2 linked regions of the Cricetulus griseus genome follow. The protein of the gene in region 1 interacts with the protein of each later gene in a biochemical or structural test. Links are inferred from orthologs where the notes say so. Each region holds a gene or a part of one and is shown in the gene's direction. Other genes may lie near its edges.

What was found. The genes of interacting proteins can lie anywhere in the genome.
Region 2: the proteins of Zfpm2 (region 1) and Ctbp2 form a complex in vitro, tested with the Homo sapiens proteins (2 studies listed by BioGRID). The link is inferred for Cricetulus griseus from reciprocal best matches to the Homo sapiens genes ZFPM2 and CTBP2.

What each region holds. Positions count from the first base shown.
Region 1 is NC_048603.1:11,224,358-11,232,528, reverse strand, and holds the end of Zfpm2 (zinc finger protein ZFPM2), read left to right. Parts: intron 1-1,663; coding exon 1,664-4,185; 3' UTR 4,186-6,180; downstream 6,181-8,171. UniProt on the Homo sapiens protein: Transcription regulator that plays a central role in heart morphogenesis and development of coronary vessels from epicardium, by regulating genes that are essential during cardiogenesis.
Region 2 is NC_048596.1:67,839,886-67,848,056, forward strand, and holds part of Ctbp2 (C-terminal-binding protein 2), read left to right. Parts: intron 1-421; coding exon 422-576; intron 577-804; coding exon 805-949; intron 950-4,579; coding exon 4,580-4,786; intron 4,787-8,171. UniProt on the Homo sapiens protein: Corepressor targeting diverse transcription regulators. Functions in brown adipose tissue (BAT) differentiation. Isoform 2 probably acts as a scaffold for specialized synapses.

The sequences.
Region 1 (8,171 bases):
ATGCATACATACATACATAGATGACAGATAGGTACTTGGTAGATTGATAGATAATAGATACATAGATAGATGATTGACAGATAATAGGAAGATAGAAAGATAGATAGATACTTGGTAGATAGATGATGAATAGGTACTTGGTAGATTGACAGATGCATAGATAGAAAGGAAGAAAGAAAGAATGAAAGAAAAAAAGAAAGAAGATAGATATTATTTTACTGGATCATACAGTGTTCCTGTCTACTATTTAGATACAGCATATTTTAACCAAAGGACTTGACTCTGGTTTCTTCAACATCTACTTCAGTGTTTAGACCATGCAAGAAAATCCTAACATTCGTTTTCCTTTTCAGCGAAACAGCATTATTTCTATTCCCTTTGTTTACTACCCTTCATTTCCATTGCTTTACTGTCATGTGACCTTTGGGAACTGATCGTGGTGTTTTCCATGTGCTAAGGAAGAAATGGTAGGCATGTTTAAAAAGGAGTTGCTAGGCGGTTAGAACTGCTATTCTGGTAGGTTCCATTAAAAATCTCTCAATTTCCAGAGTATGTGTGGGTAAAGCTGAACTGAATTTTATCACACAAAAGTACTCTGGATTCCTTAAGGAAGACAGGGAGCTGGGAGCTATTCCCACCTAAGTTTGAAATGGATCCCGGCTATTGTGAGCTTAATCTCATGACGTCACCATGCTTATAATCTTAAGATGTACAGAATATATTAAATTTAAATATTGTTAGATTTTTTTCTCATTTTTAATATTTTATTTTATTTGAAGCAGGGTCTTTCTACATAGCCTGGCTGTCCTGGTACTCATTGTGCAGACCAGGCTGGCCTCGAACTCACAGTCCAGAGACGAGAGGCCAAGTCTGTTCTCAGCAGTTACAAACAAACAGAGCAATCGTTGCTCTACTTGACACTTAACTCCACCATCAGTGGCAATAACTAGTCAGAAACAGAGTGGCCAGCCAGCGTGGCTGATGTTCCATACTGACTTCGACTTTAATTAGCATACCATGGTCTACTAAGCAAATATCCGCCCCCCACACAGATAAGCCACATTCAGTAAAACAAGCAAGCAAATGGGTTTCTATAAAAGATGAAAGATAAGTCAAGTGATTGCTAGTTTCTTTCTGCATGTAGGTATTCAGTAGCTAGTAGCCACTCTAATGAATATTCCCTCCTTCCTATTACAGAACATAGTACATAGGCGTTGGTGGCAAACGCCTTTAATCCCAGCATTCGGGAGGCAGAGGCAGGCGGATCTCTGTGAGTTCGAGGCCAGCCTGGTCTCCAGAGCGAGTGCCAGGATAGGCTCCAAAGCTACACAGAGAAACCCTGTCTCGAAAAACAAAGAAAAAAAAAAATCACAAGCCTAAGCCTTAGGCATGACACTATTTTACTCGGCTTGATTATTATAATTCTCCTGCTTTTTTTTAAAGTTTGTTTATTGACCCACACAATAGACGTACCGATAATTCTCCCCACCTATACCGTATCACTCGCAAAGAGGCTTAGGAGATGATAATTACGGATGGCACTAAACTGTCCGTGTCACAGATGAGGAGCTGAAGGTGTGTTGAAGCTCCCTAGTCAAGTTTCCCGTCACTGGGAAGCAAGCGGGTGTGGTTCTCAGCTTTCCCACTTTGTCTGTCTTTGCAGGCGTGAAAATGGAGGAGTTCCTTCCCCCGGGGGCAAGCTTAAAATGCACGGTCTGCAGCTACACGGCTGATTCCGTGATCAACTTCCACCAACACCTCTTCTCCCATCTCAGTCAAGCTGCCTTCCGGTGCAGCCACTGCCATTTTGGCTTCCAGACTCAGAGGGAGTTACTGCAGCACCAGGACCTCCATGTCCCCGGTGGTGGCAAACTTCCCAGAGAAAGCGACATGGAGCACTCTCCAAGTGGAACTGAAGACGGCTTACAGCCAGCCACAGACTTGCTGGCCAGGAGCGACCTCTCCCAGAGCCAAAAGGCCATGCAGACTAAAGATGCGAGCTCAGACACGGAACTGGACAAGTGTGAGAAAAAGACTCAGCTCTTCCTGGGCAGCCAGAGACCAGAGATACAGCCGGCAGCCAACAAACAAAGCTTTTCTTACACAAAAATCAAGTCTGAGCCCTCCAGCCCGAGACTCGCTTCCTCGCCGGTGCAACCCAACATGGGGCCCTCCTTCCCCGTGGGGCCTTTCCTGTCTCAGTTCGCTTTCCCCCAAGATATCACCATGGTCCCTCAGGCTTCAGAGATCTTAGCCAAGATGTCCGAGCTGGTCCACCGGCGACTGAGACACGGGAGTAGTAGCTACCCTCCCGTCATCTACAGCCCTCTGATGCCCAAAGGGGCTACATGCTTTGAGTGTAACATAACATTCAACAACTTGGATAACTACCTAGTTCATAAAAAACACTACTGCAGCAGCCGGTGGCAGCAGATGGCCAAGTCCCCCGACTTTCCGGGGGTTTCGGAAAAGATGCCCGAAGCCGTGAGTCCCAACACTGGCCAGGCTTCCATCAACCTCCTCAACCCAGCCGTTCATTCCTCGGACCCGGAGACGACGCCGCTTCTTCAAACGGCGGCGGCGGCGGCGTGCATCAACTCTTCCACCGTCTTAGACTTGATCGGGCCAAACGGGAAAAGCCACGAGAAGGACTTTTCCGCCCAAGCCAAGAAGCTGTCCACCTCCACCAGCAACGAAGACAAAATGAACGGGAAGCCCGTGGATGTGAAGAATGCCAGCGGCCCCTTAGTGGACGGGGAGGGCGACCCCAATAAGACGACCTGCGAGGCTTGCAACATCACCTTCAGCAGGCACGAAACCTACATGGTCCACAAACAGTATTACTGTGCAACACGCCACGACCCTCCCCTGAAGAGGTCTGCGTCCAGCAAAGTGCCGGCCATGCAGAGAACCATGCGCACCCGCAAGCGAAGGAAGATGTACGAGATGTGCCTGCCCGAGCAGGAGCAAAGGCCGCCCCTGGTCCAGCAGAGGTTCCTGGATGTAGCCAACCTCGGCAACCCCTGTAGCTCCACCCAGGAGCCCAGCGAAGGGCTGGGAGAATGCTACCACCCGAGATGCGACCTCTTCCCGGGAATCGTCTCGAAGCACTTGGAAACCTCGCTGGCCATGAACAAATGCGTCCCGGTGGTCCCCAAGTGTGACACCGCGACCCACCCCAGCGTTTCCTGCCTGGATCAGATGGACGTGCCCATGGATCTCAGCAAAAAGTGTCTCTCGCAGTCTGAGCGGACCACCGCCTCTCCCAAACGGCTGCTCGACTACCACGAGTGCACCGTGTGCAAGATCAGCTTCAACAAGGTGGAGAACTACCTGGCCCACAAGCAGAACTTCTGCCCGGTGACTGCCCATCAGCGCAGCGACCTGAGCCAGCTGGACGGCAAGGCGTTCCCGCATCCAGAGAGCGAGCGCAGCAGCCCCGACGTGGGCTTCGAAAGAAACATGATCAAATGTGAGAAGAACGGGAATCCGAAGCAGCCTTCTCCCAACGGAAACCTCTTCTCCTCCCATTTAGCCACCTTGCAGGGCCTGAAAGTCTTCAGCGAAGCCGCTCAGCTCATCGCCACCAAGGAAGAAAGCAAACACTTGTTTCTTCCCCAATGCCTTTACCCCGGAGCAATAAAGAAGGCGAAAGGAGCCGACCAGCTCTCTCCCTACTACGGCATAAAGCCAGGCGATTACATCCCTGGTTCTCTGGCCCTGCACAACCCCGACGTAGAGCAAAGCACAAACGCAGAAAACGAGTCTCCTAAAGGCCAGGCCTCCTCGAACGGTTGTGCCGCCGTGCCCAAGAAAGACTCTCTGCCACTGTTGCCCAAGAACAGGGGCATGGTCATAGTGAATGGGGGACTAAAGCCAGACGAAAGGCCCACGGCCAACCCACAGCAAGAGAACATTTCGCAGAACGCCCAGCACGACGATGACCACAAATCCCCTTCGTGGATCTCTGAAAACACGTTAGCTGCGAATGAGAACGTCTCCCCAGGAATTCCCTCGGCAGAAGAACAGTTGTCCAGCATAGCAAAAGGCGTGAACGGCTCCGCCCAGGCTCCCAGCAGTGGGAAATACTGCCGGCTATGCGATATCCAGTTCAATAACCTCTCAAACTTTATAACTCACAAGAAGTTCTATTGCTCATCACATGCAGCCGAACATGTCAAATGAACTAACTGAACCTACAAAAAGAAAAGAAAAGAAAGAAAGAAAACAGTCACCTTTGGTACCACTGTTTAGTATGTTCTTCTAAACAGTCCAGAAATAAACAAGGACGCTCTTTGAATTACATCTGGCAATCAGGAGACACCCATTACGGCTGAGTTGAAGACTCACGATGTAATTTCATTACAGACCATTAGTAAAGTGTATTATTGGTGCCATTTTCCAGACAAAAAAATTAATTTATTTTACCAGCAGTATTCATAGCTGTGGTTATGTTATTTTTTATTTAAAAACTTTATATTAAAGTCATTTGTAATGTTACTGTATAGTTATTGTGTAGCATATACGGTTTGCACTGTATAGTAGCTTTTAAAGAAAATAGTCACAAACAATACAGAAAAGCATTTTAGAAATAGCTTCCAAAGCACCTGTGTATCCTGGTTTTTTCTTATATGCTGTTGCAGATATATGTATATGCTAAAATATAACCTGCAAACATGTTCTAAATACACGTGCTGTAAGTTCGCCTTAAGATTTCAATTCTTGGATAATCAGGCTCCATTTGCACTTTATATTTTAGCAAATACAGTCTCTTCGTCACTAGGCTTTGCATTCGTACGTAGCCGTATATTTCTGTCCATTTTCTCAAACTTAAAACATGTATGTTAAATGAAGATGGCATTTTGCTTTCTTGTATAGTACTTGTATTTTCTTTCGCCAATGCAGCCCTGTCTCAGTTTTTAAACCTTTGCTGTTAAATGCAATACTTTATAAAGAATGAACAAAATTACTGGAAGCAGTATTGTAAGTAACGGAGTAGTATTAATCAGTTTTATCTTTTGAGAGGCACAGTCTAAATTGAACCCCTAAACTCGATGCTGCAAGTATGAATTTAATTCATATATAAGATCTATTTAAATATCAGAGTAGCAATACTGCCCCTGGTGATCACAAAGATAATGTTCTACTTCTGATAGAAATAATTTCTCAACAAATGTTGTTACTATGCATGTATATGGATGGAATAAAATTCCAAATTGTTGGAGAAATTGGATGTCCTGGCCTTTTTTCACCCCCATTAAGCACCAAGGAAACAGTATCCAACTCTCATTGTGTCCCACACTAAATAGCAACACTTTATCATCAGTTACATGTTAATTTCTGTTGCCAACTCCCTTTCAAAAAATGGAACTGTGTTTTTCATTGCCTCTGTTGAACCCAGCCATTCTCAGTTACACTCGAGACATACCAACCTAGGATGCCTCTGTTGTGGCTACAGCAGCAGCCATGGCAGTAAACCAAAATTGCAGGCATCCCCTTAACATAGTGGTTCTCTACCTTCCCGGCACTGTGACCCTTTATTACAGTTCCTCGTGGTTGTGGGGAACCCCCAGGCATAACATTATTTTTGTTGCTACCTCATAGCTGTAATTTTCCTACTGTTATCAATCATAATGTAAACATTTGTGTTTTCCAAAGGTCTTGGGTGACCCCTGTGGGAGGGTAGTTTGACGCCAATGGTGGTAACCACTACCTTAGCTTCCGATTTGACAGATTTTAGTATTTTCTAGTGAATTTAAATACTATAGAAAAATCTAAAGAAAAAAATGAACATAAACCATATCTTTTTACCACCATTACTCGGACTACTCAACTAATGCTTACAATCTGAACTGGGTTTAAAAATATCCGACATTTATGTTGAATGTCTTAACTCAAACCAAAAAGCAAACCACTGTAGGAACTGTTAAGAACACTGAATCCCTTTGCGTTTTCCAGCCCTACTAGAAGTCTCAGATTTTTAAGCATCCAAAGTTGCAGAGCTAATGAGAAAGCAGCAGAAACCCCAGGAGTTGTTCTCAATTATGTGTGCATCCACGTCACACTGTAAATGCAGAGGCAAGGGATGCATGGGGCCCACTGTAACGATAAGTCTTTACTCTGTCTGCCCGAGCCCCGCCACCACGTGGGCACCCAGAATAACACACAGAGCCTTATATTAGTTTATAATGCTGCTGGCCAATTGACTAGGATTTCTTATATGCTAGCTCAGTCTTAATTATCATAAATCTATATATTTTATAAGACTTATCTTATAGAGGACACCTTCTGCTGGCATCCTCTTCCCAGGATCACATGGTGGCTTCAGTGGAGAAGACAGCAGGAGGAAGAAGAGAGAGCAAGAGTGCCATTTCCTGCTTATATTCTGAATCTTCTTGCTATGTCACTTCCTGCCTGGATCTCTTACTTCATTTCCCAGAATTCTCCTGACTTCTAGTCCTGCCTATCTTGCTCCACTATTGGCCAACAGTGCTTTATTCAACAACCAATAAGATTAACATATACACAGAAGGACCTCCCCCATCAGTCCACGGTTGATGTCTGATGTGTGACTTAAAGGAAAGCCAACCTTTACCAAAGAGATCATTTCAGCGACATCAGCCTCCTCCAAGCTCTAGAGTGTGACTCTAGATTTCCAGAGTGTGTGATTGATGCCTTCAGAGACCACCAACCTTGGAAGGATAACCACCCTGCCTAGTGGTAACACTCACCCCCATATGCCACACTCGGCTTGTCCTTTGCCACACAATCAAAAGCATCTGACAGCGCACCCTAACATTATCCCCTTAGTGTTCAGTGGAAAGAATACCTCTCACTGTGTACTCACAACGCATAGCTCTCTGGTTCTGTGTGCCCTGAGGGAATCCATGGCTACGGGCTGTGCTGTGCATCCTGTACTAGCTCACAAATAATGAGAAGCATTTTCTCCATTCTAGCCTGAGCTCAATCTCTACATGGGATTGACCACTCGAAGGAGTTCCCCCTACAACCTTATGTTCCCACAGACTCCAGTAAATATTAGGCCATTATTCAATCTACACCTCAACATCAGTGGCATTGACAATCAACCTATTACTTTTGTGTGTTAAATTTATTATCTTTGGGACCAATTCCCTTTTGTTCAGTGAAAAATGCTGAGTGGCATTTCACATGCCCAAAGGGCAAACAAATGAAAACTAGAAAATATGGTCCATGGTGTATTATATCTATGAAAAGAAACATTGCCCTAATAGGAACTGTGAAAACAAAATGACCAAGATCTGTTTATTTCGTAGGTTATTTTTACTATGAATTTATGTAGGGGATGAAAGTCTTGACAGTTCCACACGGCAAGCACCCATTCAGAAAATGCCTTTGTTTCTCAGTAATTACAGTAGTCATGTCCAGGTGGATCTCTATAAGTTCAAGGCCAGCCTGGTCTCCAGAGGAGTGCCAGGACAGGCTCCAAAGCTACACAGAGAAACCCTGTCTCGAAAAACCAAAAAAAGAAAACAAAGAATAGTAGTCATGTCACGAGAATGTAAGGTTGGCTTTCCTACAATAACAGGCAATCTTGTTCCACCACAGTATCAATCTTTATTATTAAAAGCCAAAATTACCTAGAGTTGTTTTTTAGATGATATTATTCCTAGATTCCAGTTTTTATAGACTTGAAATAATCTCATCTTGGATCACTTTGCCATGTAATAAAAAATGTAATACAAGTAATATGTATTTTGAACTTTGTGGATTTAAGAAGTAAATGGCAGCCCCCACTTTCTAATGTCATCATTCATCTTTAACATGATCTTGTAATACTGAACCCTTATGGGACTCATCTTGATAGGATTAATTTTAAATGTTTGCCATTAAAATCAGATACTCATTTTCAGATTTAGTTAAGCCCAGTGGTATTCCGTGGTTTGAAAGAGTCCAACTTCTAATTTCTTGAGTTAGTATTGGCAATTTCTGTGTACTCCTCCAGCTAGATCATCATAAAACTATGTTAAGAAGAAACAAATCTCAGAGAGTGAACTGAACCACAAATTAAATAAGTAGGCGTGGGAAAGCATCTGGAATAACTATAATTTGAACCTCTGTCTACAACTTTTCTTCTCATCACTCCTGAACAACAAAGATGTATTCGATAAATATCTGTGAATGGACTGAGA
Region 2 (8,171 bases), on another chromosome or scaffold:
CGGGTCTGTGTATGTTCACATGTGAAATCATAGGACAACTTGCAGGGGTCAGTTCTCTCCTGCACTGTGGGAGTCAGTTACCCTGAAGCCATGCGGCTTGGTGGCAAGTGCCTTTACCCATTGAGCCATCTCACTGGACCAGAGTTTTACTTTATGGGGCAATTCAAGTGAGCTATACAATTGCCCCTCTGGGTCTTAGAGCGAAGTGAGTTCATACCAGAACTCTGCACTTACCCTCCAGTGATCTAGGAACATCACTACCCCTCACTCCCTGCTGCCGCCCCCCCCCCCCCCGTTAGCTGGTAAAGCTGTGTCATGTCCTTGGCTCCACCAGACTTGTGTGCTCTCTGCTTGCCTTGGCATCAGCCACTGAGGACACCCTCCCTACAGTGTACTTACCACACATTTCTTCTCCTTATAGGTATCCGCCCTCAGATCATGAACGGCCCCCTGCATCCCCGCCCCCTAGTGGCACTGCTCGACGGCAGAGACTGTACCGTGGAAATGCCCATCCTGAAGGATCTGGCCACTGTGGCCTTCTGTGATGCACAGTCTACTCAGGAAATCCATGAAAAGGTGGGTTGCACCCCACCTTACCTGGGCCCCTCCAGGCCAGCTGATGTCAGTAAGCACAGTAGTCACACACAGGAATGCCTAAAGTGTATGGAATTCCCGATGTCCTTAGCCTACTCTGCCACCCTCAGGCACTTACTCCATGTCTCCATCCTATAATTTCTGCTAACAAAGTCTCAGAGCCTTGTGTTCCCAGGGGTTCTGACCTGTGACTCATGTCCCTGCCCACAGGTGTTGAATGAGGCTGTGGGTGCCATGATGTACCACACTATCACCCTCACCAGGGAAGACCTGGAGAAGTTCAAGGCTCTTCGTGTGATCGTGAGAATTGGCAGTGGCTATGACAACGTGGACATCAAGGCTGCTGGTGAGCTCGGTGAGTCGAAAGGCCATGCTGGCTGCCTGGAGGCCACACTCAGTAATGGGCAGAACGCAGAAGGCAGGGCAGTTGTCCTAGGGAGTCTTGTTTCCATTTTCCCATGCACCTTTGCCCAGCCTCAGCTCGAAGCAGGTTCAGGGGCTGGAAGATCTTGAGATAAGCAGTAGATTAGTGAGTTCTTCATTGAGCACACCAAAAGAAGCTGGCCACCACCTGCTGTCCATTCCCAGGGTGCTTCTCAGAGAAAACCACAGGCGGGTAGAAAGCTAAGCAGGAAGGTAGAGTACCTGAGTGGCACAGGGGACTCCTGCCCACACCCCCATGAGAATTGGTGTACACTGGCAGCAGAGCCTGGGGGGGTCAGTGGGGAGTGCCTCAGAGCCACGTATTTTGTCTGAATAAAGTGTGCCGCCTCTTTATTCATGAGCCTCATGCATTTGAAATACCTCAGAATAACTAGAAACCCATGTACCGATGGTGCCACAGCAGCCTGAGCATAGTAATGCTCGTACCATCAGCCTGGGCCTACCACCTGCTGCTGCCTCACCCCAAGGGCTCCTGGAACTAACTCCTAGGACAGCAAAGCCAGGTGTGCGCAGTGCCTCACAGTCATCTCTGCACCGGGCCTAACGCTAGACTCGACAGCTCTGTCTATAACCCAGACACACCCGCCATGCTGGCCACTGAAGCAGCACTGGATCCAACTTCCCTTCACAGTCTGAGCCTGCAGCTTTGAGAGGGGTGGGTGCCTGTTTTTAGTTTTCTGTTTCTTTGCATTTAGAGCAGCAGTTACTATGAGCCTGAACCCCAGGATAAGAAAAGGACAAAGGAAGCTGTGCCGGGTGGCACCAGCCAATGCCCACAGTATGTCTGTGGGGCAACCTCACAGGGGAAGGTAGACATCTCATGTAAAGCAGAATCAGTCCTATTCAGCCCGGGCTTTTGAGAGTCCTGGGTAATCATGGCTTCCTATGTCCCTACCCTAAGCAGCCTTGTTCTTTTCCAGTTACAGCCCCTCTGAGCCCCTCTTTGGCAACAGAAGAAACTTGTTGTGATTGATGTGAGGCCACGTACCTGAGTTTAATTGAGAAAACTACCTGGTGCGGTGTTATACACCTGTTATCCAGGGAGGTCTCTTGAGTTTGAGGCCACCCTGGTCTGCATAGCAAGTTTGAGCCTAGCCTTAGCTACTTAGACCCTGTCTCAGAAAAAGAAAGAAAAGAAAAAAGATGTTTCCCAGACACGAGCAAGTATGCTTGTGTTTAAAAATATGTATCTGAGCCTGAAGGAAGTGGCCACACACCTTTAATCTCAGTACTCTGGGAGGCAGAGGCAGGTAGATCTCTGAGTTCAAGGCCAGCTTGGCCAATGGAGTTAATTCCAGGCCAGGGCTGTTACATAGAGAAACCCTGTCTAGAAAAAAAGCAAACAAAAGACGTGTGTCTGTCAGGAATAGAGATAAATTCCCTGAGTTGGGACTATGCAGGAAGACATTCAGCTTTCTAGCCCATTGTCTCTCACACATAGTTCCTGTTGGTAGTCAGCCCCTCTTCTCCAGTCAGAGTCCAAGAAACAGACTGCCTAGGGCCAGAGCGTTGAAAAGTGTAAAGGGGACACGAAGTGTCACTATTGTGGCCCATTGTGATTGGAGTGGCTATTCAGAAGACTTCTGCTAATGAAATAGATGGTCCTCCAGCAGTGTCTGTCATTTAGCTCTAAGTACATATGGTGCCTATCAAGTCAGCCAGCAGACCCTTTGGAGAGTAGTAAGACGAGTGGCAGGTGTGCCCTGTTCCTGGAAGGGAACACTCCACAGTGGACCTAGCAGGTAGTGATAACTGGGTCTTGTGTGAAGCCCTCTGTATCTATAGGTGCAGCCCTTCAATCTGTTTAATGCAGGGCAGCACTTACCCACAACACCCTAGTTCTCCAGAGATCATGCATAACACAGGTAATGGAACATCCTTGGTCTCTCCTCAGAAGGTTATTCAGCTATTTGGAGCCACTTACAGTGACTCCTTCATTTCCTCATTTAAAACCATGGTCTTTTTCTCGGGACGTCAGAGAACCATATGGGAATTGGCACTTGGAGGTTACCCTGGGGAGAACATATCCACTGAACTCTTTGGCATGTCTACAAGACCCACTTCAATGATCAACGGACAGCTGTCTGCCGTTTCTGGCAAGATGGTTCCTCTTCTTGTCCAATTATTAATTATTCCCAGGCTTGGGTTCCGCCTCTCCACGAGGGTGCTAGAGCCAAGAAGCTACATATCCACATTGTGGTTTTGAGTTGAGCAAACATCCTGCCTTGGTCTCCCTCTTTATATAGAACTCTCACCTTGCCTTTATCATATGGGGGCCTGCCTGCACTGATTGTCATTGGTCAGCTAAGCTATGACATCCCTGAACCACAGCTGGGCACACAGCCGAATCTGATTACCACCCACTGGGCTTTTTCTCAGAGGACTGAAATGCGTCATAACAATATAATAATAGCCCGAGATCCCATGCTGAGTCATTCCAAATGAATGGGGCCCCTGTGTTTTGCAGGATTACTGCTCTTCAACTCATAGGAAAGATAGCTTCCATCATCAAGGTTCCTTAGCAAATTTATCTGTAGCCCAGAGAAGTCCACTGCAGCCAGGCAGAGAGGATGGCCTGCTCATGGTGCCCTCCTTCGCTTTGAGCTGTCTGTTTTATTGGGAGGAGTCACATCACTGGACCCCAGGGCAGTCATGGTAGCAAGAAGAGACAAGAAGAGACATAATACCACAGACCTAAGGTGTTTAAGGGACTATTGATCACCTTCCGTCTAGGTGATCTTCGTATCCCCCAGTCTTGAAAAGCCAACAGAACCCAAGGCTACCTTGAAAGGTAGCTGCACCTTGCTGCCCAGATGGCAACTATCAATCAAGATGGAGCCTTTTGGCCTGAAGAGTGGCAGGGAAAGCTACTACCTTTCCTCAACACCCCCTGCTGAAGGGAAGTTGGTGCCCACACCCCTCCTTCCTGGGGGCTTAGTCCATTCTCTGACAGGTCCACCTCAGGCCTCAGGCCTCCTGCTCTCTGCCAGAATCAGATAAACCATGAGCTTTAGAAACGTGGATAACTCTAAAGTCAAGATCCTCCTGCCTCAGCCTTCAGCGTTTAAGGTTAGAGGTGTGTGTCAGCATGCTTGCCTGGAGCTGTGTGTCAACAGTAATTAGTGACTAGGGTATTGGGGTTTACATTAGGGTGCATAAGGTGGAAACAATCTCTTGCCCATATAGCTCCACAATGAGCCTGGAAAAGAGTCTGGATTTCTGGTCCCTCCACCCTTCCAGGCCTGTCCCGGATAGATCTGGGACTGAAGCACCCACCATCTTTCTGCCTGCTCTGGGGCTCCTTTGGGCCTCAGACCAGGACTGGAAAGAAGGGGAGTTGGGCTGGCTGTGAGCTAAGACTTGAACCTATAAACCATGTTGGATATGTGTGTAGTTAGTGGTGAGTACTTCTGAGACGAAGAGGGCCTACCAAATACTTGACCCAACCCCGGACAGGAAGTAGTAGTTCTCCATTTCTAAGCAGGGTACCTCAGAATCCTGGGACTTTGCTCACCTCTGGGCCTGGCCATTTCCCTTTCAGGGATTGCTGTTTGCAACATCCCATCTGCTGCAGTGGAGGAGACAGCCGATTCCACTGTCTGCCACATCCTCAATCTGTATCGGCGGAACACATGGCTGTACCAGGCCCTACGAGAAGGCACACGGGTTCAGAGCGTGGAACAGATCCGTGAGGTTGCATCGGGAGCTGCCCGGATCCGAGGGGAAACACTGGGCCTCATCGGTTTTGGTATGTGCCTCTTGAGACAGACTTGGTTCAAGGGAGTGGGGGTGGGTAGGTCAAGGGTCAAGAATAATAAGAGAACTTGACCGGTAGTGAGATCTGGGCCTGTTATACAAGAATCTGTCTATGTTGCTGGCCAGTGGTACAGCAGGAGTGCACCCTCTGCTGTCACTGGAAAGGACTGTGCTTGGTAAATCTCCCTGAGGCAGAGGGTAAAAGTTTGGCTGTACAAGGTGTGTTACTACTGGTGAGTGTGTGTAACTAGTGGTGAGCAGCAACCTGGGTCATAGGTCCTGAAGGCTCTTAAATATAGATGCCCCCCTCCCCCCAGCAGTAACATGAAATCACTTAAAGATTCAAGCCTGAGGGTAATGCCAAGCTGTGGGCTTGAAAATCTCTTGTGAGACTAGGACAAGACATAGTCTTTCTGGACTTGGTTGTTGCCATGGAGATATTTGAGCAGAGACCTGGGAGTCTCCAGCAAGTGTGGTAGGGGACCGAGGAAAGTTTAAGCGGTGAAGTGAGATAGACACATGCTACTGCTGTTATCCACACAGACTCCAATAGGACTCCTAGCTGGTTGCGATCACTAACTCACTCCATAACCTTAAGGAATTGTTTGGCTTCTTTGCCTCCATTTCTCGTTCTGTAACTAGAGCATTAGGTGGAAGCAGGGGGATACATGGCTGCTGCCTCTTGACTCTAAGGCAGCATAAGGAACACATGGAAAAGGTTGATTCTGGCTTCCAGAAATTTTTCTGATTCGTATCACCTTTAGCTCAGAGCTGGCTGAGGGTCAGGGCTTCTAAGACAGTTTTAGAAGAGGGAGGATTTACTGGATGACTCCAAGAGTGCTCCTCTTTCTATAGAGCTTCACTCTTCCCCTCCCCCCCCCAACCCCCGACCCCAAGCCTAGGCCTCTGGGGCAGTCAGAGTCTGAGTTCAAGATGCTGGGGAAGGCTCTGTGGTGTTTCACAGGTCTTCAGATATGCAGGTACCATGTGTGAGTACTATAGCACTCTCTGCTAGTACCCTCCTGTGCTTCCTGTGGCCATCCTATGAAGCCCTTCTGTGGCCTGGGATGGTCTCTATCAGGCTGTAGAACCTGTGGGCGGCTCTGAGCCAGCCGGTGAGAAGCCCCTCTCATTCTGGAGTCCCTGTACCCATCACATGTGCTTTTGTAATTGAGTGTTATTTGGCTGAGTGCTGACTTTCAGCTTTCCCAAGCCCTCCCCCTGGCTTCCCTACATTCATGGCTGCTGCAGTCTCCCTGGCTTCCTGTATAGCTCTAATGGTCTATGGCCCCCAGGAACTGTAGTGAAGAGACAGGAGAAAGGATGTTTGCGGCTGCCCAGAGCTGCGGCCAGCCTGCTGAAGAGCAACAAGGGAGGAGGCTCAAAGAAACCTGAAGCTGGGGCTGGACAAAGGTCCCTCACACTGCCTGCCATACTGATAAAAACTGTCTAGATACTTACTTGCCTACTGATGTTTGCTTTTGTTTTTAATTTGGCATACAAGGGTTTAGATACGGCATTGAAAAAAAAAAGGTTTTATTAAAAACTGGAACATTTCACATCATGTCACCTTTATACAGGGGCCACACTTAATGTGTGGTCTGCCAAAGTGAGGGGTTTTTGTCTTTTCTTTTCTTTTTTTCCCGAGACAGGGTTCCTCTGTGGCTTTGGAGGCTGTTCTGGAACTAGCTCTTGTAGACCAAGGTGGTCTCAAACTCACAGAGATTGCCTGCTTCTGCCTCCCGAGTGCTGGGTGGGATTAAAGGCGTGCGCTACCAACACCCAGCGAAGAGGTTTTGTCTTAAACATGGCCTGTGCCTTTGGGTTTTCATCTACAGAGACCACGATGTTGATGGCATTTTAGTCAGAAGTGCTCTGGGTAAGAGTAGAAGGCAGTGAAAACTTGTGTGAATTGATGCAACGCACTCCCATGGAGAATGGCCGAGTCAGCACGGTGTGTTTAGTTCTGGCTTTGGGATCCAGCACCTCTGCCACCTACCGAGGCCCTGGACATATGAAGGCTTCAGATCACAGTATAAAGAAACTGCACACCCAGTTAAGAGAAGAACTCATTTATCAGCTTAGACACGGGTCCTCCAATCCCACCTTTCAAGGATGTCACTGAGCCCTTACTTCCACACTTCCTTCCTCCTTCCACTGTCCAGTCATACTTGCTCCTCTGCCACCCTACCATGGGGTTAGGCTAGCTCCTGGTCAGCCGTGTCCTCAAAGTGACAACAATAAGGGAGATGACATTGACACCGCCGCTGTCAGAGTGGCCTCATTACTCCACAGTTATAGCAAAGAGCACAAAGAGTGAGTGTCTGCTGCTACCAGATGAAGACGTACGCCTTCCCTTCTAACTTTGCTCATTTTCAAAACCATTTATGTGGGTTCTGTATGTAGGTGTCACCTCCCACAGAGTATACTTTGGAGGTCACAGAACAAGCAGGGTTGGTCCTCCTTTCCACCATTTGGGTCATTGTCAGAGTTGACAGCAAGGACCTTCATCCACTGAGCTGTCACACCAACCTTAACCACAGTTTGAACAGGTTTTGTTCCTCTTGTTTTTGAGACAGGTCTCACCATGTAGCCCTGGGTGTTCTGGAATTCACTACGTAGGCCAGGTTGGCCTTGAACTCAGAGATTCACCTGCCTCCGCCTCCCCCTCCCAAGTCCTGGGACTAAAGTCGTGCATCACTACTCCCTGCTTCAACAGAACAGGGTTTTAGATAAGGTATACTTGTAGTTTGCCTATTTGAATTCCAGTCCTGCATAATCCCTCTCAAACCATTTTGTTTTCAAGCTTAAAACCATCATGAGACAGGAAGTGCTGCTGGGATCAGTGGCTTTGAGCAGAGGATAGCCATTGTGGAGTTCTGTCTGCTATCTGACATATTATAATAGGGAGAGTCCGTCAGGCCTTAGGGCAATGGTGTTTTGACCCCCATTAAAGGCAAGTCCAACAGGCATTAGGCTAGAAACATTGATGTTCGCATACTGAGAGAGTGTCAAGAAGTTGGGTACATAAACAAAGATGAGAGAAATAACAGGACCCGGGGCATTATGGTGATGTTTGGACCTGAGGAAAGAGAGTGTGATGTCCTAATTGGGTATCACTTTAAAAATGTCCATGGAAAATAATTATATAAAAGGACCTTTGGGGCTGGAAGGTGGCACATCAGCTAAGGGTGTGTGCTGCTCCTCAGAGGGCCCAAGTTTGGTTCCCAGCACCCACACTGGGGAGGCATTTTCTCAATTGAGGTTGCCTCCCTTCAAGTCCCACAGTCTTTACAAATTCAATCGTATTAACATTTTAGCCCCTTTAAAATAGCTAATCTCTTAAAAATACAAAGTCTTTTAAAATTCAAAGTCTC